Caenorhabditis elegans: one gene and its partners. The protein of the gene in region 3 interacts with the protein of the main gene of each other region in a pairwise test. Each region holds a gene or a part of one and is shown on either strand. Other genes may lie near its edges.

Region 1 (4,750 bases), 2.6 Mb from region 3:
AAAGCAGAACATTTTTATTCAACTCTATCTGTAGAGTAGTCTTACTATGTGTTCATTCCAATTGTGAAAAACCATCAACTCATCTACATAATGGAGGGTGAGTTGAATAAACATTTTTGAAGTACAAATAGCTTTTCGGTTGGAAGTTTTACAAAAATTCTTGCATAAAATACTCATTTATCTTGGCTAAACTTGGCGACGCTAACTGTAATTATTTTCGGGAAATTTGAACTATAGTTTTCTATGGTTTCAGCAGAAACTTCACTTTTTTTTCAAAAAAAAAAAAACTTGAAATTTCCAACTTCAGAATGTGCTCTATACCTTACTTACCTATAACTACCTTACTGCTACCAAGTTTTTCTGAAAACTTTTTTAAAAGTTCTAGTTTTGATTGTCTTGTAATCTTCTTCATTATAGTTTCCTTACCGTATCGTGCCGAGCGACTCAATTATGAATAATCCTCTTATTTTTTATGTCAACTCTTCCAGATTACGCGCGTTCCTTCCATTATTTGCGCACTCTGAACTCTCCTTCTGTTCCATTTTCTCTTCGTTTTTCTATTCAACCAAAATTTGCATATTCTATACTCAATACCATATTGATGGTCCGGTTGTCCCACGAGACTTTATCATAAAAAGGTCATTATATGCTTCTTCTGCTTCTTTTCTCGCGCATTAGTACGTTTTTGCCGCTTTCTTTCCGCGCGGAAGAGATATATGTGTCCCTCTTTGCTGTCCCCGCCTTCTTTTTTATTCTTTCTTGTTGTTGTGCGGGGGAGGGGGGTATCCCTTGACTTGTATCATCGCTTTTGCACTTTGTTAGCAACGATCCCGACAGAGGGAAGGTCAATCACTTTTTTATGCAGATGTTGTTGTTTTTTCGAGGAGACGGAAGAAAATTTGGTGTAGATTATTTAGTGGTCAATTGGGTTTTCCTTCTGTCTTAAAAACTTTAGACCACACACTCAAATTTGGCCTTGCATCACTTTGCTCTACTTTAACAACTCATAAATATCTCGGTCTTCTTATATTTTATTGAGACATTTTAAACTGTAAAAGTAGGTGTCAAATAATTTGCTATATTTGTATAGTTGAACAGTTTTTCGTTGAGCTTAAACCACTGAAATATAAGCCGTCAATGTAGAGTAGTGTGGTTCAAACATAGGAAAATACGGTATTTAGAGAGCGGAAATCTCAATTTTGTTTTTGTTATTGTTTTATTTGGATTAGCTTGACAAGTCGTGTTTTGAATTTTTTCTAGATTGCAAGGGTTCATAATTTTTTAACTTGAGAATAAAAAGATTGTTCTACATACAATACATATTTTTAAGACTAGAAAAAGTGGATTTATTGTGACAATAAACTAGAGAAATCTATGAAAAAAATTCAATAAAAGTCTGTTTCCTGCTGATTGAAAACTAGATATTCAGAATTTAGTATACAAATATTATTTGCGCAAGTTTGGGCAAATACTTTGGATATTTCTAAAAGTCGAAAAACGAGCAATTTTTGATGCTAGATTTTTTGATTTGACGAATTTTTTCAGTTTTTTTTCTTTAAAAAAGGTTTTTGACCCCTTAAAGTTTTCCTTTCCCTTCCAATTTTTTCCTTCTTTCTTATACGACTTCTCAAGTTTCAACTCTAAAACAAAGCTACATGTACATTTCCGGTAAACTTTGTGTCTCAGAAGATCCATTTTCTTTTTGTTACATTTATTCAAGATTGAATTCCAAAATTTCAGCCAATATGGACAGTTGCGAAGAGGAATGCGATCTGGAAGTTGACAGTGACGAAGAAGATCAACTTTTTGGTGAAAAGTGGTGAGTTCTTATTGTGGTAACCAAAGAAATGTCAGTGGTCCGTAAACACTTGACTCCCAAATGGTTTCTCGTAATTACCTTATGCACACTTTTCAAGTGTTTGCCGTTTGATCTTAGCCAATTTGAAACGTTTAGATGTTAAATGGAAAATGGGTAAAGTTTTTTATTTTATAGAAAAAAGGTTTGGAAAAAAATCGAGTCACTGAATAGTTTGAAGAACGGAAAAATAAAACTTTCCAAAAATCATAAAACATTTAGTGTTTCGAAAATTATAGTGTTTTTTTTGTTGGTATGTTTTGACAAAAGCTAAACCATCTTTATTGTAGTTTTGTAAAATGTTCACAAAGATGCGTTTTTTTTTCAAATTTGGCAGGCTATCTTTACATTCACATTTGGATAATTCAAATTTTTCTTATCGCTAACAAATTTTCCTATTTTTCCAATTATTCGTTTTTATAAAGCTTTGGTAGTATGTTGTGTCTATCTTTAGTGGTCATCAGTTGACCGGACCTTCACCCTCATCGAGCAAAAGATTGCTATCTCAACTTGCGTTTTTGTCTGTGACTCACAATTTCCTATAATCTCTAAGCTGGCATGTTCGTACGTCCTTTACGCCTATCTCGTGCATTCAGATAACTTGATTATATGTTCTATTTGTTGGTTTATTGGCGATGCTTCTGAATTGATTACTTTTTCTTGTCGTGTTTCGTAACACTAGTATTAGCAGTAGCTTCAGCCTAATTTCCAGTTAGGCCTTTTTTCCAATGACCTCATTTCCCGTATTCTATACACTTGATTAGTTTTCTTTGGTTACGGTCATTTATCATTCGCAGATGATTTAGTGACAATCCGGCAAAAGAAATAGAACGGAAGGCCATCCAGATGTGATTTTCTATGATCTTTTCTTGTTGGCTGTACGGTTTTCCTTGAAACCTACTGGATTTTCGTTCAGAATTTTTTGTTGGTTTTCCAAAAATATGACTTATAGCTTAGATCGGAATGTAACAAAACTTTTGAATGTGTGTTGAAGTGTTCAGAACTTTTTATTTCATGTAATTTCTCCAAAGAAACCGCAGCCTTTTTAAAAAATTATCTAAATTATTTGGTAGGATACTAGATTACTCAGCCTTACTCAGCCCTAGGAAAAATAATGTCTCCACAACGCAACTCTACTTCCCAAACGACAGACAAAACTCTTTTTTGTGCAATTTTTTCAAGATGTTCTAAAGTTATGAAGCAAAGTTAAGTTACGAATCAATATTATTCAGAAATGTTCCATTTGTGCTCTTTTTCATTTGTTGCAAAGCTCTGAACATACCAGAGCATTGATGAATAAATCATTCGCACTCTTCCTCGTCTCTTTCTGTTCATTTCAATCTGTGCGCGAGCATGTTTCATGGAACATGTGTATGAATTCAAAAGAGACACAGAGAAAAGGAACGACATTCTGAAACAATGGGTTGTCCGTTCTCTTGTCCATTCTTGTTTCTGTGTTGCACTCTATTTCTCTTTTCTTTCACTTTTCTGACTTTTATTGCTGCTCTTGGCCATGAAAGTGAAATTCTCTGAATTTTTAAAGATAGTTGCAAGTGTGGTCTAATTAAGTTTGAAAGTCGGGGAGGTCTAGGAAAAGGTAACCAAGATACTAAGTAAGTTGGAAGAAAAACGGAGAAAATTGGTGAATTTTTTTCAAGAATGACAAGAAAGAAAGAGCTACATAACTTCAAGTCCGCGAAACGATTATTTTTCAATAACCATTAGTAAAATTTCGCAATGGCGTCTAAAAGTTATGAAAGTTTGCCAAAATTGATATCATTTCTCCTGAATCTCTAAATAGATTTTTTAAAAATAATTTTGTACTGTGAAAAATAGAAAAAATAGAAAAAACAACAAAAATATACAAGTCATAGATTAAACATTAACCAGAAAATCATCTATCAAAAAGTTGAAAAAACTTTATATAGCTCACATGGATTTTCAATAACGTTTTCAAGCCCTCTCTACAAAAAACTATCAAAAAATTTCTAATTAACACCATCCAAACCCCAATTTGTTTATGAACTAACTAAAATCCTCGAAAATCCGGCAAATCCTCGTGGCTAGCCAGGTGTTCATCGGTCCGTGTTGTTGCCATGTGTGTTCCATTTCTGATGTTCATTCATCGTTTTTACCGGAGCGTGTCCTTTCCGTCAGTTTCGAATTGCTTCAAACCTTTCAGTTTTGAATCACCAGAAGAGAACAGCCTTGTCATGGTAGAGTATGTTCACTTTCTTGACCCCTTTGACTCTCTCTTTGTCCATCAAAATGCTGTCGTTCACTCTTTGTTTGGGAGCAATTCATCAAAAATGTTGGCAGATTGTTCCCTGTTCCTCTTTCTTTTCTTATGAAGTGCCATCTACTTTTCAATTCTAGAAACTTGAAATATTCTTTCAATTTTAAATGTGAATTCAAAATAGAGAAGTTGATTCAGAAAAGCCCTTTTTTCAATTTTTAAAAAACTTACATTCAATGTTTTGGTAATTTACGAAATGTTCCAAAAATATGGGCATTCTAAGTAATTTCGAGCATTGGTTCGTCCTCAGAATGTTGAAATAGAGCAATATATGCAAATAAAAAAAAAGGCAATTAAAGTATAAAAACTCATAGAAACAAAAATCTGCCACACTTGAAATTATGATAGGTGCAAACTAAGTTTTCACAACACAATTTGAATTAAAAATTCAGACAAGTTTTTTGAAAAGATTTACTATGATATTTGAGTTTTTCCCATTTGGAGAGGTTTCTAACAAAATTACTTTCTAAGAGAAACACAACAAATTTCTAAATTCCATTGATGTGTTCCATTTTTCAAATTGATCCACTTAAAGAATGCATTCTCGTTTATGTAAACATGAAAGCATTCCCAATAAATTCCATTCATTTTACAGCATT
Region 2 (7,885 bases), on a different chromosome or scaffold from region 3:
ATTTCCGCTGGGAAAATCGATAATTTTGGAAAAAAAAATTAAAAAATCAGCCGAAAATCCATAATTCATTAAAAATCGAAAAAATCAACTATAATTTTGAAGAAAAATCGATATTTCCGCCAGGGAAAATCTATCTTTTTTTACAAAAAAATTACTAATCTGCTGAAAAAAATCGATACCAATATGACCTTTTTTCTGGGGAAAAAACGGCAATTTGCCAAAAAAAAAATCAATATTTGAAACCCAGGTATTGTAATAGAAAATCGATAGTTTTGTGGAGAAATCAATTTTTTTCAGCATTAAAATCGGGTTTCCCCCAAAAATCAAAATTTTTCTGAAAAATCCCATAAATTTCAAATTTCCAGCCTCCCACCGAGCCCATGCCTATCCCATCTGACATTCTTCTCAATTGCCGGCACTCAAATCGCCTCTGTCTCCGCCGTGATGCCCTTCTTCCAGACAATTCCCTCTCTGGATCGTCTTGTCTTCTGTGAAACTCCGCTCGTTGAAAAAACCGAAGAACTTCGTGCTCAGCTCCCTGGAGTTCGTCTCATTCCGCACTGGTTGTGAAGACATTTTTCGGAATTTTTTTCACCTTTTTTTTTGTGATATTTCTTAATTATTACCTGTTCTTCTTATGTATTGTTGTGGACGGAACGTAAACCTGAACTTTATACAGACGTGACCTTTGGGTCATCATGAACTTATCGCGTAAGCGACCTCTCTTTATAATTCATTTACTTCTTACACTTCTTGTAATAAACTACTTCTCTCCTTGTCTCTCGCTCAATACACAACATGTATGTATGATACATTATCGATTTTTGATTTTTTCTATATAAATTTCAGTATTTTCTTTTGGTAAACTCTCCCTTTTGCAAAAAATGGCGAATTTTGCTTAATTTTCGTGCTTTTTCCACAAAAATCATGGAAATCGCTTAACATTTCGCGTTTCTGGTTCCCCGCAAGTGATTTTCCAATTTCGAAATTTTCACATTTTCCAGTCCCCGCTGAAAAAATGCGTATTTTCAGGTTTTCAGATCCCCGAAAATCACTATCCACAAAAATAATCAGAAACGTGGGCGGAGCTTCGCAGGCCACGCCCATGGAAATGTTTCGAAAAAAATCTGTAAGACTCAAAAATTCGGTTTTTCTAATTTCAAATTTTCAAACGGCTTTAAAGGCGCACAGAAATAGGCCATGCCCACAAAATGGGCAATTTTCGTTTCTTCTCAAAAATTTTTAAAAACTTGATTTTCTCCATTTTTCTAGTTTTAAATAGCGACTTTAAAGGCGCATAGAAATAGGCCACGTCCACAAAATATACATTTTCCAAAAAAATTCTGAAAAATTACACAAAATTCGGATCTTCTGATTCTAAAAGTTTGAACAGAGTTCCACAGAAATAGGCCACGCCCACAAAATTAACAATTTTTTTTCTTCACACAATGAGAGAGTGCAAAGAAAGAAGAGAGTACAGACAGAACGTGCAAAGTCGCTCTACGGATGATATGCGGGAAATTCAGAATGTTCATCGATTTGGTTACGACACTGTTCTTTTATTAATTAAATTTTAAAACGCGAAGAAAACCCCATTAACTCAGGATTTTTTTTTACAAAAACGATCAAAGTTTTGGTAGTTGAGTAGTATGCCTCATGACCCAAAAATATTTCCAGTACGTTTTCCATTAAAAGATTTTTCAAAAAAGTTAGTTTCCAGATTATAAACTAACAAATTTTAGGTAATTTTTTAAGCCGCTACATTTTTTCTAAAGAAATTTCATTATGAAATTCGGTGTTATCAGACAATTTCAAAAGTTATAAAGCAATAAAAAGGGGTCACATATATTTTTTTTTTTCGAAGTGGTTAAAATTTACGGGAAAGGTATACTACACAAGTATCAAAATGCCATACTGCTTTTCAATATTGTACTTTGTTTAAGTATCACAAAAGATGTACACTAATGACGAGCTCACGGAATTCATGGATTTCCTAGTGGAACAGACAAAGGATTCCATCTATCCATTGGTGGCAAAAAAAGTATTCAAAAAATTTCCCAATCGTCGTTTGATCCCGGAAGATAAGCGTTACCCAAGGTAAACAGACCTGGACTTGGCTTTTGTCATCAACTTTTTTGTTTAGATTTTGCTCACATTTTGCACCGAAAATGAACGAATTTAATAAGTACAGTATTGAGGAACGAATTCGATTGATGTATGCATTACGTGGAAAAGTTGAAGATGATTTTTTGACAAGGTGGGGAATAGTAATGGTGGTGAGAAAAATGAGGAGAGTGTGACCAAATATTATCGTAAAAAACTATTTTTTTCCAAATTTTATATAATTTTTTAAAATTCGGATACCGTATATTCTCTATTAGTGCGGCACCCCCATCGCTCACCTTTGACGTCATATGTCTTGATTGATTTTGAAGATATTAAGACCTTTTAAAACATTAAGCATAGAAGGAGTTTTAACAAACATTTCCGTAGTTAAAGACTTTTTACCAAAATCAAAGGTGACCGAGATATGAGCTGTCAAAGTTGAGTGGTGGGGTGCCGCACTAATAGAGAATATACGGTACTTTTCAATTTGCATCGAATTCTGAATTACCGCCAAAACTCCTATCGCAGCTTGATCTACAAAAAATGCGGGAATTTGTTCTACAGAAAATACAATTTTAAACTATGCGAAACCAATTTAGAAGTATGTGTCTAAATTCCTGCAATTCTCGGAGATCAGCCCAACATGGGACATTCTGACACCACGTGATTTTTTATTGATTTTTCAGGTTTTTTTTGTGTAATATTACTGGAAATTTTAGTGAGAAATTCAAGATAAATGTAAATTTTTTATTAGAAAGTATGCAAGCAAATCTGTGAAATCAATTTTTTTTCAGGATTGACGTCGCTCTTATTCCGACGCTTATAAAATAATTTACGTTTATCTTGAATTTTCTACTAAATTAGCAGTAAAATTACACAATAAACATGAAAAATTACACGAGGTGTCAGGTTGTCCCATTGCTCCACAGTACATGAAACACGGGGTTCTGGCCTTTCTCATTGAATTTTCGCGCTCCATTGACAATCGCCTGACGGACAACGCGTGGAAAAGTCGTGTACTCCACGCGGACAACAAACTTTAGTTTTACAACTAAAACGAGCCGCGACGCGACGCGACACGCAACGCGCCGTAAATCTACACAAAATCTCTCCGACCCAAAATGGCCTAGTTCGGCAACTTCTGCCATTTCGATTTATGAGGGAAGCCAGAATTCCGTGATGAAAGGCGGGAAAATATTTTTTGAAAATTTGTGACGTCCGTTACAGCGCATTTCGAATGTTTTTTAGAGCGATTTTTCAAATAACTTTAAATTTATTTGAAAAATTATAAAAAATGTCACGAAAATTTGCGCTCAAATTAAAAAATAATTACTCGAAATGCGCATCTTCAAATAATATTTTCCCGCCTTTAGTGTGCGATAGGACAGCCTGAAACCACAAGAAATCAGGCAAAAAAAAAGAATAATCTATCAATAAAAATGAAAATAATGCAAGCGCGTTCCATCAAACATCGAAATATAGGCAAATTGAGAATTTTCCAATTTTCAAAAAAATCATATAAAATTTAGAAAAAAAAAGTTGAATTTTTTACCTTTTCGATATAAAATCTGAAATAAATTACAGAATTCAAGCTCATGGAACTGTTGAGCTCAATGAAAAACATAGAATCTCAAAATTCATCTCGAATGACGGAACATTTTCCTTGGAAGATGATCGTGAACGTTTATCAATAGACACTACAGGACTCGAATTCGTCAGGCTCTTGGACTTCCTTATCGAAAAAACTAGAGATGTCATTGAACCATTGCTGGTGACAAAAAGAATTTTTCAAGAATTTAGCCGACTTGAGCCCGGTCCGAGGCATAAACATCCTGACAAAATGTATAATAGGAAGTGAGATAGGCATACCAATATAGTTTTTGTATTTAAATCATTTTATTTTAGATTTCGCTATAGTTTGGCACCAAATATGAATAAATATAGTGACTACAGTATTGAAGACCGGGTTCGATTATTCTTTGCGTTTGGTGGTGAGATCGAAGACGATTTTCTGAGGACGTAGGTTTTAAAAGATTTTTTAAACAGTGCATGATTTTTTGTGCACATCAAAAATTAAAAAAAAAACGGGTTTTACAAATTTTAAAACAAAATCGATAAATCATGGATTTTCGATATATTTGACCACTTTTTTGTTAAAAGTGGTGTAGTCAAACATTTTCTATTGCCTTATTATATTCAAAATTGTCTCAAACACACAAAATTTCATAATGAAACTTCTTCAAACATCTTTTAAAAAGTCACGGTGGCTCAAAAATGGCTTAAATTGACACCACGTGCCTTTTTGAAAAAGCTCAATAATTAACTAGTATACCCAAAAGTTTCCAGCCGCTTGACAAGTCTGTCAAATTTCACATTTTAACTAATTTTAGGTCATTTTTTGAGCCGCCAAATTTTTTTGGGAAGTTTCATTGTGGAAATTTGATGTTTTCAGACAATTTCGAGTTTAATAAAGTAACAATAGCCCCTTAAACTTCAAAAAACACTATTTTGCAGAATTGAAACCCATGGAACTGTCCAATTGGATGATAAGAGAAGAATCACAAAATATGTCTCCAACGACGGAAATTTCAAATTGGAAGGGATTCGTCGTCATATTATGTCAAAACCAGCTACAGGTCCCGAATACACGAGATTCATGGAGTTTCTTATCGAAACGACTAAAGATGCAGTTGAACCAATGAAGGTGCCCTTAGTATTGAAGGCATTCAAGCGCCAAGAAGGTCGCAAGTTTACAGAAAATGGATATGGTAGCAGGTTAGAAGTACTGTCTTTTGAATTAAAAACATGCTAACAAGGAAAGACTTTATATTCATTAACGGACTTCCATAAACCATAGTACTAGTTCTATTAAAAAGTGTTATTTGTGATCCCTCCGAAACTTTCAGCAGGTTTGGCAGAGCAAGTTGTGTGAAAAATTCCTTGATTCCAAATGCCGTATATTCTCTATTAGCGCTGCATCTCCAGCAGTACTGCAGTCTCTAATAGTGCTGCATTCAAAAAGGGCCTGGAAATTAGTGATACATGCAGCACTAATAGAGAATATACGGTATTTCTTTTGAAATTCCAGCCTCTTTAAAACTCCAACTTGTGAGTTGTTTAAAAAAGTACAAATCTTTAGCTTCAAATTCAGTAGCTCACTTCAATGGTTTTCTAAAGAATTATAAGCTGAAACTTATATATATATATATATCCATTTTTGTATATGTTTTTCATTTTTTCGAACAAATGAAACTATATTATCAACTTAAGAAACAAGTTTTTTGAAACTTTTGAAATGTTATCAAAGGTGGTGTAGGCAAATTTTTTTTATTGCTTGATTAGACTTGAAATTGTCTGAAAACACCGAATTTCATAGAGAAACTTTTTGAAAACTTCTCAAACAAAAAAATATGGCGTCTCAAAAATGACCTAAAATTAGTTAAAAATTTGAATTAGACCAACTTGATTTCGATGGGTCGATGAATCGCCAGATGTGATAAAATTTGGTAACTTCTGGTGGTTCATTAATTTTAAATATACCTAAATCAATTTGAAAACGCGAGAAAATAAAGTTAAATACCCAAAAGTAGAAGGTTACTTTTTTGTGGCCACTTAATTTTTTTGAGAAGTTTTCAAGAAGTTTCATTATGAAATTCGGTGTTTTCACTCAATTTTAAATATAATAAAACAAGAAAAACATTTTGACTACACCAAGTTGCAAATAATTTCTTTTTTGACAATTTCAAACAATTTGAAAATCCTAGATTTCACAAAAAGCTGGCACCAAATATGAGTAAATGGAGCAAATACAGAATCGAAGAGCGCACCCGAATGATGTTTGCAATGAAAGGCAAAGTTGAATCTGATTTTCTTGCTCAGTAAGTGTTGAATTTCCATATTCCATGCACTTGAATGAGTTTTCAGAATTGAAGCATCTGGCAAAGTCCAACTAGATAAAAACCAGCTAATTGTCAAATATACTTCAAATGATGGAGAGATTGAACTGGGAGGAGAGACGAGATTGGTTGAGAAGAAGAAGCGGAAATCTACAAATTACCACAAAATGCACCAAAAAAGACGCAAAATCATTCGGTCTGTCACGGATGAGACGAGTTTGGTTGCGAAATGGAAAAGAAAGTCGGACAGTTACTACGAAATGTACCAAAAGAGACGCAAAATCGGGGAGAAAGAGTTGTCTGACACGGCTGAGGTGGAAGAAGTAGCGCCATACGATGAGGCTCCCAATGAAGATCAAGATACCCAATTAAATCCATTTAATGCAATGAGTAATCTAACGACGAACGGTCCATCATCGAATGCACAGGAGTGGTCTAACGACGAGCCAAAGCAGGAGCCTGTATTCGAGGATATCTTCATTCAAAATCAACACTTTCCTTCAGAAATTGAAGATGTTCCAATTCAAGAAATTCGCCGTATTGAGCCAGACACCAAGCTTGCCTATTTGAACATAGGATCAAGTGTGCAAGGAGCTGTAATTACTGATTCTGGCGAGATCAAGCTTCATAAATTCTTGAATTCGTTAGAACTCATTCTTACTTCTCTCGAATCAGATACTCTAGATGATTTGTTAAACGATATTGAAGGGATTCGTGTTCGAATAAATGATGAGGTAGCTAGAACTTCAAATGTTGAAATAAATTCAGGACTTTTTTCAGATTCTTCCACCAGAGCTAGTGATCACTGCCTTGCAGACGTTCTTATTGGGAATCACTCGCAAGTCTCGATCCGCAGCGTCAGCAGAAAACAAATCATCACACGAGTGTCTGAGAATCTTCAAATATTCATTGCTTTGGCTCAGAAGCCCTTTGCTTTGGGAGATACAACAGAGGGTTGCGGAAGAAATTGAGAGTCACGTTATAGGAGAAAAGGTATGTTTCATTGAACATGTTGGTCTAGGGCTTTCATGTAGGCGTTAAACGCCTGCCTGCCTCACCTTCGTCTCAACCCGCGCCTTATACTTTTGATTATATCGAATTGATAAAATTGATAAAAGAAAATTAAACTTTTGTAAATTCACGTCAAAATACAAAAAAAAGGCAAAAGACCGAGGGGCAGGAATCAGGCTCTAAAACCGTGGAAGCCCTACGTTAGTCAAATAAACCCTAATTTATTTTCAGATTATCCTAGTCGCCGATGTTCAGCAAGGTATTCGGAACATTCTCTTTGCGGTTTCCAGCTAATTAACTTGAAACTTTTCATAAATATCTTATTTATTTTTTACATGAATAATCTTGCTCTACTTCACGAACTTCTATCTTGCACAAAAAATCAATAATTTAATCTTCTAGAAACTAGAAAGTATTCGTATCATTCATTCTTAAAATAAGTGTAGCTACACTTATTTTACATGTATTTAGTAATATATTATCGAAAAACACGATCTCACAATTTTCTCATAATTTATTTTTGATCTACCTTGTTGACTAGACTCCCTTCGACTAAAACAGCCACAACAAAATAACAACGACACCAAGATTGGGGCACACAAGATTGGGGCAAACAGGTAGATCAAAAATTAATTATGAGAAATTTGTGCGATCGTATTTTTTCGATAATATTGTTTTTGAGTCCAGGTCACAAAACGGTGCAGAATGAGATAGTGCAAAGAAAGAAGAGAGTACAGACAGAACGTGCAAAGACGCTCTACGGATGATATGCGGGAAATTCAGAATGTTCATCGATTCGGTTACGACAGGGTTCCTTTATTAATACCCAAAAAAGCCCATAACCTCAGAATTTTTTCTTTTTTTTTACAAAA
Region 3 (5,053 bases):
GTGTCGAGACCGAGTACCGTATTTTGGCGCAAAAATGACAAAATTTTGCGTCTGTGCAATAGTTAAGGTCCCACCGCGATCCAAGTCATCTTATTGGAAATCGCGCGGGAATTTCAACTGTTCAAGAATTCTGCTTGTATTTTTGACCTTTGTTCCTCCTCTAAGAAAATCTGTGTCCACCGCCCACCAAAAAAGATACAATTCCCACGCCTTGCAAACTCTTTGGCGTCACTATTCGTCGTGCCGAACATGAATTATTTAAAATTCTAAAATAGAAGAAAAAATAAACTAGAGAGGAGAGGAAAAGAAATAAGAAGGCACAAAAATATAAGAAAATGAATGAATGTGTGTGCATGAAGAGAAAATGAGCAATCTCATTAAATAGGCGAGCCCCTAGGAAAACCAAAAGAGAGTAGTACGGGGGCAGTGAGAGAACGAGCACATGCGTTCAGGAAATGCGTCGAGACTCGAAAATAGCAGTCGTATTGGCTATTTTTAGGCTTCTCACTGCTGCAAACGAGGGGACCACTGCTTCCTTCATGATTACATATCCATCGTTTATTTTTGGCTTTTCACATACAAGTACTCGAGGCAAAAGGCAATATATGAATATGAATAAAAGTGAGATTAAAAGCAATTGATTTAGCAGGGTTAGCATTTCTTGTTATCATACTGGAACTACGTAGTTTCCAGGGAAAAGCCCAGTGACTCCATCCAAGACACCTTCATACCAGTCGTCATCGTTCTTTTTCAGTACGTAGACAATTGCGTTCTCGCGAAGTGTCAACTCGTCTTCTTTTGCAGCATCATAGTCGTACAGGACCCGTACTGAAAAAAAAGATTGGTTTTTTTCGAAAATGTTTAAATTGACAAATATAATTGCTTTGTAACATTAAAAATTCTGCAAAAAATCGCATTTTACAACTTAAGATTTCGATTCTTTTTGGATTTTTTTGATACTCCGATGTTTTTAAAGGAAATTTATTTTTCGTTTTTTTCGAAAATAAAAGCTAAAAAGATAACTTTTTAAAAAATCAAAGCTTATAATTTTCAAAATTTGAAAATTCTCAAAAAAAAAAAATTTGGAGATATTTGAATTTTTCAAAATCACTTTCCAATATCACAAAATTTTTTGTTTTTTTCTCTTTTTTAAATTTTTATTAAATTTAATTTTTTTAAACTTTTTTCGGTTTTTATAATAAATTTTTCACTAACAATTTTAGCCAATTTTCTAAATCGTAAAATAATACAGAAAAGCTTAGAGAATTTTTTTCCGACAATTTTTCAATCAAATTAAAATCTCCAAAAATACCTTTTTCCAAATACTCGTTGGGCATCCATCCAGCACTCGTATCAAAGAGACTTGGTGGCTGACTCGAACTGTACGATTCTGTTCTACCAGCAAACACTCCATACGCTGATGACCCACCAACTGATTCTGGTGGAGGTGGTAGATCATCCATATCATCTTGTGTTGGCATTCGACTTGACATTCCAGTGAGCAAAGAATTTGGTGGAGGTGGAAGATCATGTCGGTTCACCGTTGATTTTCGAATAGTTCCATAATTTTGTTGTTGCATTTGTTGTTGTTGTTGTTGTTGTACCACACTTCCCGGTGCAACATATCCAGTATAATTCATAGCTGGTGGTGGAAGTGGGAATGTTGGTGATTCTGGACCTCCAGCACTACTTTGTGCAGATGATAGTCTGGGAATAGAAAAGCTACCATCCACTGTAGTCCGACCACCAGCTCGAATAGTTCCGTAACGATCAGGTTGATAAATGGAATTATAGTCTGATGATCCGTGTTGACTTCCGCTTCCACCACCACCGCTCATATGATCTCCGAACTCTGATCCGTGGCTCATTTGACGGCCGATTCGTGATTCTGATTGTGGTGTGACCTGTAAAAAGTAATCGGATTATGTTAGAAAAAACTTGATTAATTTTTTGAAAAGGAAATGAGCTGATTTTTTAAAAATTAGTTGTTTAGTCTGAAGTCGACAAAAACTAGCCTGAAACATTGAATTTCATAAAAAGACTTCTAAAAAATTTCAAAATTAATTATGTGATTATTCAATAAATACTGTATCTAACTGCTGTAACAAGGATTTCAGATTCTTATTCAGGCTCGCTCTAAATTTTTTTTCGATATTTTCAGAAGTCTCATTATGAAATGCGGTCGTTTTGGGTCAAAAAAACCGTTTTTTGAATAAATTTATCAATGGTTCACTTTTTTTTCAATATTGAGTGTATTTTTCAGAAAAAAAAGTTTAAAATTTAAAATGTATAAGTTATGTCAGAATTTTTCGCTCCCTTTTTTTTTTGAAAACGTTTTGTCAAAAACACGAAAAGCAAATTATTTTCAGCCTCTATGAATATTTCAAATGTTCACCTGTGGCAACCGATAATCCGATGGAGCAATTGATGGAGCATACGGTCTCATTGTTCTTCCTAACGTAGCCGTTCGTTCACCAGCATAAACTCCATACGCTGGAGATTCATTGTGAAATTGTGATGGAGAACTGCCAGAAATTGATGAAGTTGCTCTTGAGATTGGTGCTGCTCTCGGTGGATCCGATGTTCTGACACCATGCCCTATTCCGTCAAGAACAGAAAAATCGATGGGCGTTCGTTGATATCTCTGCTTTTCATCTGGGATTGCTGGTGCAATGATTTTGGGTTGCTTGAATAATGTTTTATTGGTTGTGAGAGAACCAATTTCTCGTCTTGCAAGCTTCTCTTTATGTACATCAACTACTTGGCTAACATATTGAACTTGATTTGTTAAAGAGTTCACTTTATCGGTTTGTAGAGCAAGCATATCGTGTAAATCTCTGAAAAAAAGATTCATAATTAAAACAAATTAATTGAAATACTTACGTAACCATCTTGTTAATCTGGTAGGCTACGCTGGCGAGTGCCTGGATCGCGAATTTCTTGGATTCCTCTAGCGCAGCAGATTTATTCTGAAAACGTTTAATTCATAAACTTAAAAGAAAAAATTAAACCACACGTTTGATTGTATATAATTATCCTCACAATACGCGGCAACTTGTTGAAGATTCGCATGACTCGTTTCCAGTTGAGCTCGATTATCGGGTATCCGTCGCTCGATGAGCTCTTGAAGATCATTAACACTCATTCCGCCTTCCCCATTATGTAGCATCTGTAACAAACTAAAAGTTAACTAACGTTTAGAAAAATATTTTAAAAATAATAAATTGACAGCAGAAATTTCATGAAAAACACTCAAAGGAACTGAATGAATAAGAAATTAATGAGGGCGTGGTCACAGAATGCAACGCGCGGCGCGCTTTTTCGCAAGTGGTACGCACATGTTATTTCCCGCGAGGAGAGCATATCGAATAATAGAATTTCCTCGGATATATTCAAATTAAATCGATATAAATCATATTTCCTACTAAATTTCTGAACCAATAATTCTAAAAATGAGCTCCAATGACGTTCTCGCACAAATTGCCGGTCTGGCGAAAGCTGCAGCAGAGGTTTGAAATTTGAAATTTTAATGTATTTAATTTTTGTATTTTTTTCAGCTTGAAAATGATTTCTCGACGGATAGTGAAATGCAACAAGATTCCGAGATTTGCGATGAAGTCGATGCGGAGCTTTTTGACGATTTCGAAACAAAGGTACGCTTTTGAATAAAGAAAATTTTAACAAAGTTCCCAGAAGTTGCAGCCATCATCTCGAAAGGAAAGTTCAGGAACGAGCCGTCGAACGAGAATGGCACACCGAGAGCTTCAAGGCCTCCAGTTCGCGAATCCAGGAGATGAAATGTCTCGATTTTTGCCCGACTCTGTGGATATTATTAGCACCAACCGCTCGAAACGTGTAGCCGCGGAGAAGCAGGCGGATCTGAGAGACGAACCTTTGCATCATGACAAAACAGGAAAACTTTCGGTTACCGCAAAAGGACAGACTTTGTTTTTCGATCTTTGTGATTGTCTCGTGGTGGAGTGTGATGGGTGCCATTGGCCATGTAAGCAGTGCAAATGTAAGAGATGATATTCATTAACTAAAAATATTTGTTCTAAAAATTCTTTAAACAAAGAAAAATGCATTTTTCAGCTCGCAAATGTCTCATCGGATGTCGTCAAAATCGAAAAGAAATGGTGATACGCGTCGAGGAGATGTACACAGTGACGGAAGCCCCGGGCCCTGTTGTCAATATTAATCCTTATTTTCCGGGCCAAATCAAGGATTAAATGCCTTATCGTTTTATCAATTTTAACCTCTTATGTATGTTCCCCTTTTTCTTGTACTGGTATTATCTATTTTGAACTGTTTTATACATGTCTTTGTGAAAAATTCAATCTCGATGTTCATTAAAAACTAAAGATATTGTTTGTTTTTGTTCTTTTTTGTCATACTAATCCATAGTTTCTCGGTTGATAATCTGAAAATATATCTGGCATCTTCTCGAGAAAAATTTAATCCAACGATATTTCAGAATCTTCCAGAAATGTCGTCATACGCTCTTTACCGAGGGACCACACTGGGTCAGGCACTCGATAAAACTCTTGAGGACATGGAATCCGAAGGACTTCTCACGAAATCTCTTGCTTCGAAAGTTCTGCAACAATTTGATAAAAGCATGAACAAGCAAATCTCGCGGCTTCCAAAAGAGAAAATGAATTTTTGTGCGACACAACTGCTCACTTATCGATATTGTGATAACGTTTGGACGTTTATTCTCAATAATGTCACGTTGAAAGATCCCCAGCGATCGTTTGATGAGCCTATTGATAAGTGAGTGTTTCTTTTATTTGTATTAAAAATAAAAAATCTAGAAAAAAGCAATTGTTTATTAATTTTCTATAAAAATTTTTGTTTCTCGATGATCTATAATTATTAATATTTCAGACTGAAAGTGGTCGCCTGTGATGGTCGTCAAACAAGCCTTCTGCAGACATTGAGCGCCCAGGGACCATCCAAGAGAGTCAATCGAGCTCACGCGGCCGCTGCAGGCGACGATGAAGATGATGACAGTGATTAGATGAACTTTCCAAATCATTGTTTCATTTTCTAA
Region 4 (4,967 bases), on a different chromosome or scaffold from region 3:
ACTGAAAACTGTGCATTTTTTGAAATTTTTTGTTCGTTTTCTTTAGATATTTTCACAGAATTAACTTTTCAAAATAGATGTAGGATGCGTACAATGTTGCCGATAATTTTCGGAAATTGCCGTTTTTCCGGCAAATTCGGCAATGTGCCGGAAATAGTCAATACCGGCAATTTGCCGATTTTCCGGAAATTTTAAATTCTGGCAATTCGCCGATTTGCCGGAAAAAAAATCGTTTGCCACCCCCGAATTGAGTCCCAGCCGCTACTGACAAATTGGCAAATTCTGATATTTAACCTCAAAATTAGGGCTGTACAACCGGACGTCCGGTCGTCCGAACCGGACGCACATGCGTCCGGTTCGGACGCAGTGCGTCCGGTGGTGTCAAAATCGGACGACCGGACGCCGATTTGTGCAACCCTACTCAAAATTGGCCTTTTTCCAAAAACTTTGAACGAACATACCCTTTTTTGAGAATTTTTTTCGGATTACAAAATTTGTTAGTTTTTGGCCATTTTGGGTAAAACCCCTTTTACGTAAAATTTTACTCTACTGCAGTAAACTGAAAAAAAGCGAGGAGAAGAAAAACAAATCAAAATGAGATAAATGTTGCAAAGTGAAGAAAAAAGCGAGATGAGGAGCAAGAAGAGGGGTCGGCAGCGGCGAAGGATAGTTGGCTACTAATGGGTTTCGCGGCTGCTAATATAAACAACGGCCACTCGAAACTTTTAAGATTCAAGAAACAAGGAGAAGATGAGGGACAATGTCTTCTTCTTTTTCTTTTCCAAATGCCCCTTCATATCCTTCTGGACACCACCACCTATTTTCTGCAGCTGTCATACGGGGTGCGCGAGGTAAAATAACAGCTGTCGGGAAGAAAAAGAAGGTCGAAACACTGAGAAGTCCATCCGAGAATAAAGAAGAAGAGGGTCAACTGTGTGAAGAACAAGGGCTGTAATTTAGTTGAAAGATTTTCTGAAGAATTTCTCCAATGCGGGAATATAGCTGGTTGGTGCCAAAAAATGGGCATAATTACATGTAGGCCAACAGGAAACAGCTGTTCGGTCTCAAAAAGACAAGGAGGAGCATCCTAGGACATAAAAATTATAATGAGGCTAGGATGGGTCATATAGGCTAGGCGGCAACTTTAGAACCTAGCAGTTGCTATTTATTTTGTTTTTGATCCTTGAAGGTGTGTTTTTTAAATCAGTTCCAAAATTAAATATTTTTAGCAATATTAGTAACAATTATATTTTATTGATTTGGTATTACAAAAAAAAGAAAATTTGCGCCAAAAATACTACTGCAACCGGTTTTGACACGAAAAAAAAACGATTTGTAATTTTTCTAAATGTTTAATAACTGTTTTGTTTTAGTGTCTTTAATGAATAAATCTATTTTTAAAGAACAACTATGAAAAATCCATGAAAAATTTGTAGCAACGAAAGTTTGAAGCCACAGTACACTTTAAAGGCGCAGTTAACCACGAATCACAACATATCGCCCTAACACGGGAAAAATTATGTGCAATAAATATGACGAGTATTGCCCAATTCGTAATGCAATAAAAAAATTTCAATTAAAAGTGTACAAAAAGCGGAGCGACGACGGGTATGCCGGTGAAAGGCGGTGGTCTCTTCTTCCACGCGCCAGGATGCAACAAAAAGTAGTTTAATATGTACTATTCGTTTTCAATGATCGAACACACTCACTCACATCCGCACACACACAAACCGATTGATCCATTCAGGAGTATTGGGTGGAAGGAGAAGCAACGGATAGATATACGGCTATATATCAACGAGTGCGTCTACTACAACTACGTCAGGCGCCTGTGAATCGGTTGATCCAACTTTTTTCTTCAAAAAAATCGTTGGTATTATTAGGTTTTATGGACAATTTAAAATTGGCGAATGGCAGATTATATCTAGAAAATTGGTTAGGAATTGAGATAATATCGGAAATTGACACATTGTTTCTAAAAATATACTCTTAAATTTCGGTTTTCTAGATTTCATTTTTGCCTAGACTAACTCGAAATAATTTGAGACAAACGACCAAAATATACAATAAAGGATGGCAATTGAAGGTTGAATTCCAACTGCTCTGACGCGGAAAAGTTGGAAAAATTTCAGATTTTTACTGAAATTAGCTTACTATAAAATAGTCCTCGAACGAATTTCTTGAAAAAAAGTTATATATTTTATAATTAATAAATTAAATTAAAATATTTTCTTGCAATTCTCCATGAATGATAAGCCGGAACACTTTTCATCATCTTTTTATGTGAAAATCGATTCGCCGGTCAAGAATTGATCTCGTGACGAACACAAGAAAATATATTTGATAAATAAAATATTCAATCAACCTCAAAAAGTCTTTGCGAAGACAGATTGCGTAAGATTAATTGAAAATGGACGGAAGAACACGGAACGCAGCGGGAGAGGGCGGCCGATCCTTGCGATTTGAATTTATATATGTATATGTATGAATTATAAACGTAGCAGCAACGAAGATTTTGATTTTAGCCGGCTAATGGTCGGATTATACCGCCAGGCGCCACGGCTAACAGACACACAATGACAGTCGGTGGAGGTCATCTGATGAACGAGTGCGATTTCGAACGAACTGACGGATTGGATGAATAGAGGGTAATTAGATGGAATACATACATATTGACAGAAATAGACTGACTCTTTCTCTATGTCATCAAATACGAATAAACATGCACTATGTGTGTTGTGTACGGAAAGAAGCATTAATTGAGCTTTGGGTAACCATCCACCGGCTCACGTAACAAATTGGTTGGGCAGATGGGGGAGCACCTACTGGAGGTGTGCATAAATTATTCATTATAAGACGATTATTTCTATGACTTATTGAATTGAAGGCTTATCGTACTTTAGCTTAAACATTTAATTGAGGGAAACCGGGGGCTAAACCTCGGATTATGCGATTTTTTAAAATTTCAGTATAAAAAACTCACAGCTCCATTGTAGAATCCTCCGATGCCTTGTTAGTTGTTCGCAATTTGAATATCTGAATAATCAACTTTGAAATTACAAAAAATCCGTGTTAAAACGCGTTTTATCGAACGAAAAAGCAAGAAAAGAAGATTTGTGAAAGAAACCCGGATAAATTGGCCAACAAATCACCTCGGAGTTAGTTTTCTGTCTATTTAAGGAAAGGAAAATGAGTTAAAATGAAAATACATCGATTAAATGAAACGAAACACAATTTCCCAGTCAAATTTAAATTTAAAACTTCAATGCTTCCGCTCACTTTCTCTCCGTCTCCACTCACGTATCAATAGAGCGCGTTGTCATAACTCCGCCCCTTTTAAAATATATTTTATTTTCAAAAGTTCCCTAGAAGAATGCTTTTTACTAATTCATTTATTTTATCTTTCCAATTATTATTTTAGCTGAAAAACTGGAATTTCATTTAAATTTTCCTATAAATATCCAGCTCTATGCTTTGTTTCTTCCTTTTTGTAATTTCTGCAGGTTTATGTTACTTTTTTGAACATTTTTAACTGGTTTTATTTCGAACGAATACGCATTTAGATTCCAGGAAATGTTACAGCAGACTAAGATGTTTATCAACTAGAAAATTCTGATTAATCAATATTTACTCATGCTGCAAAAAAAGTTTTTTGAATTTCGCTCGCAAAGGTCGCATTTTCGTTGCAAGACCCATCACACAGCTATGAGAACACTTTCCCCGCCACCTGATGCACCAGTCTCTCCGCTCTTTGCAACGAGATTTGTTTTGTCTTCGATGTGGCCTTTCTCTTCATTTTCAGACCGTTTCTCTAACTCTAATGGTTCCTTCAATGAATACTGCAACCGCTTTATTTCTCTTGTTGTGTGCTCATATCATATTAATCGTTAAAACAACTTTTTCAGTCTTCGTTCACGGACACCCGTCGCGGAGATCGTCAAACATGAGAGAGAAGGTAGGTACTACGTTCAGAAATGTTTATAATTTAATATTAATAAGATTTGTGTACTACATTATTTTATTTCAGTGGCGTAAGAAGCGTATGCGTCGCCTGAAGCGCAAGAGGAGAGCCGCAAAGAAGTAGACAAGCTGCTTCATCTCCAAGACGTCAAATTATGCTGCCGATCTGTGATCTCGACTTCACCGTCTTCTCCACAATTGTCAACTGGATTACTCGTCTTCTTGTGCTTCTCATCGTGAAATAATCATCCTACAAAAGTTATTGCAATTTTCTTTTTTAAATCCAATAAATAATTGTTTGTCCAAATAATAGTACTTTGTTACAAAGCCTGAAAGAAAAACTATGGGAACTCGTGCGTCCAAGATTCTGGTTAAGGTAAATCGTCAGTCGAACTTTCATTGTCATTTGTTGGATTATCTTCTTTGGGCTCGCATTCGAAGCTGTTTTATTTAGAACTCTCCTGGTCTAATAAATTAATATTTTCACAGAATTATCTGACGAAAATTAAGAAAAGTGTCTCGAGACTTCCAGAAAATTGACCCAATTTTTTAATAGCAAAAAATAATCACAAATATCCTGAAATTTAAGTGAAAATGTGAGCATTTTACGTTCGAACGCGTTCAGGGCACAAAATCGATAAATTGTAAGAGATTCAGTGCTTTCGAGAGATCACAGAAAAGCGAGAGACGCAGAGAAACCGCTGCCCGCAAGAAAGGGGGAAACTCGGTTCAAATCGCGCGCCGGTCGCGTTTTCGTGGCGAGACCCGCCGCAGGACATGAACGAAATTCGCCGTTGTTCCTAAAAAATTTTCACTTCAACCAACGCTACGCGAATCGATGAGTTTTATTTTCTCGTTTGCCGTTGTTTTATTTTGGTTTTTCCTTGAAATGTAATCTTTTTGCAATCAATCTGAATATATTTTCTCAATATTTTCAAACTGATTTCGTTTTCTCTTCGCTTTTTCAACTGTATCCTCCACTTTCTTTTACTTAATGTATTATTTTC

What was found.
Region 1: the proteins of abi-1 (region 3) and mig-10 interact in a two-hybrid assay, tested with the Caenorhabditis elegans proteins (4 studies listed by BioGRID).
Region 2: the proteins of abi-1 (region 3) and M57.1 interact in a two-hybrid assay, tested with the Caenorhabditis elegans proteins (2 studies listed by BioGRID).
Region 4: the proteins of abi-1 (region 3) and M04F3.5 interact in a two-hybrid assay, tested with the Caenorhabditis elegans proteins (2 studies listed by BioGRID).

The regions. Positions count from the first base shown.
Region 1 is NC_003281.10:8,277,363-8,282,112, forward strand, and holds the start of mig-10 (Abnormal cell migration protein 10), read left to right. Parts: upstream 1-1,745; coding exon 1,746-1,819; intron 1,820-2,282; exon of another isoform or gene 2,283-2,374; intron 2,375-3,076; exon of another isoform or gene 3,077-3,213; intron 3,214-4,746; coding exon 4,747-4,750. UniProt on the Caenorhabditis elegans protein: Required cell non-autonomously for proper development of the excretory canals and for the long-range anterior-posterior migrations of embryonic neurons CAN, ALM and HSN.
Region 2 is NC_003282.8:3,531,698-3,539,582, forward strand, and holds M57.1 (SPK domain-containing protein), read left to right. Parts: upstream 1-1,943; 5' UTR 1,944-1,954; coding exon 1,955-2,097; intron 2,098-2,143; coding exon 2,144-2,257; intron 2,258-3,690; coding exon 3,691-3,960; intron 3,961-4,011; coding exon 4,012-4,125; intron 4,126-4,620; coding exon 4,621-4,881; intron 4,882-5,870; coding exon 5,871-5,984; intron 5,985-6,030; coding exon 6,031-6,736; intron 6,737-6,782; coding exon 6,783-6,995; intron 6,996-7,244; coding exon 7,245-7,307; 3' UTR 7,308-7,366; downstream 7,367-7,885. Other genes in the region: M57.2 (Geranylgeranyl transferase type-2 subunit alpha), read left to right, coding at 366-570.
Region 3 is NC_003281.10:5,689,562-5,694,614, forward strand, and holds abi-1 (SH3 domain-containing protein), read right to left. Parts: upstream 3,170-5,053; 5' UTR 3,146-3,169; coding exon 3,017-3,145; intron 2,970-3,016; coding exon 2,884-2,969; intron 2,838-2,883; coding exon 2,396-2,837; intron 1,905-2,395; coding exon 1,313-1,904; intron 829-1,312; coding exon 668-828; 3' UTR 546-667; downstream 1-545. Other genes in the region: arle-14 (ARF7 effector protein C-terminal domain-containing protein), read left to right, coding at 3,453-3,509, 3,558-3,653, 3,694-4,018, 4,093-4,229; B0336.13 (Transcription initiation factor IIA small chain homolog), read left to right, coding at 4,487-4,773, 4,888-5,020.
Region 4 is NC_003279.8:4,785,323-4,790,289, forward strand, and holds the start of M04F3.5 (IMD domain-containing protein), read right to left. Parts: upstream 3,037-4,967; 5' UTR 2,992-3,036; coding exon 2,984-2,991; intron 1-2,983. Other genes in the region: rpl-41.1 (60S ribosomal protein L41), read left to right, coding at 3,944-3,955, 4,028-4,084.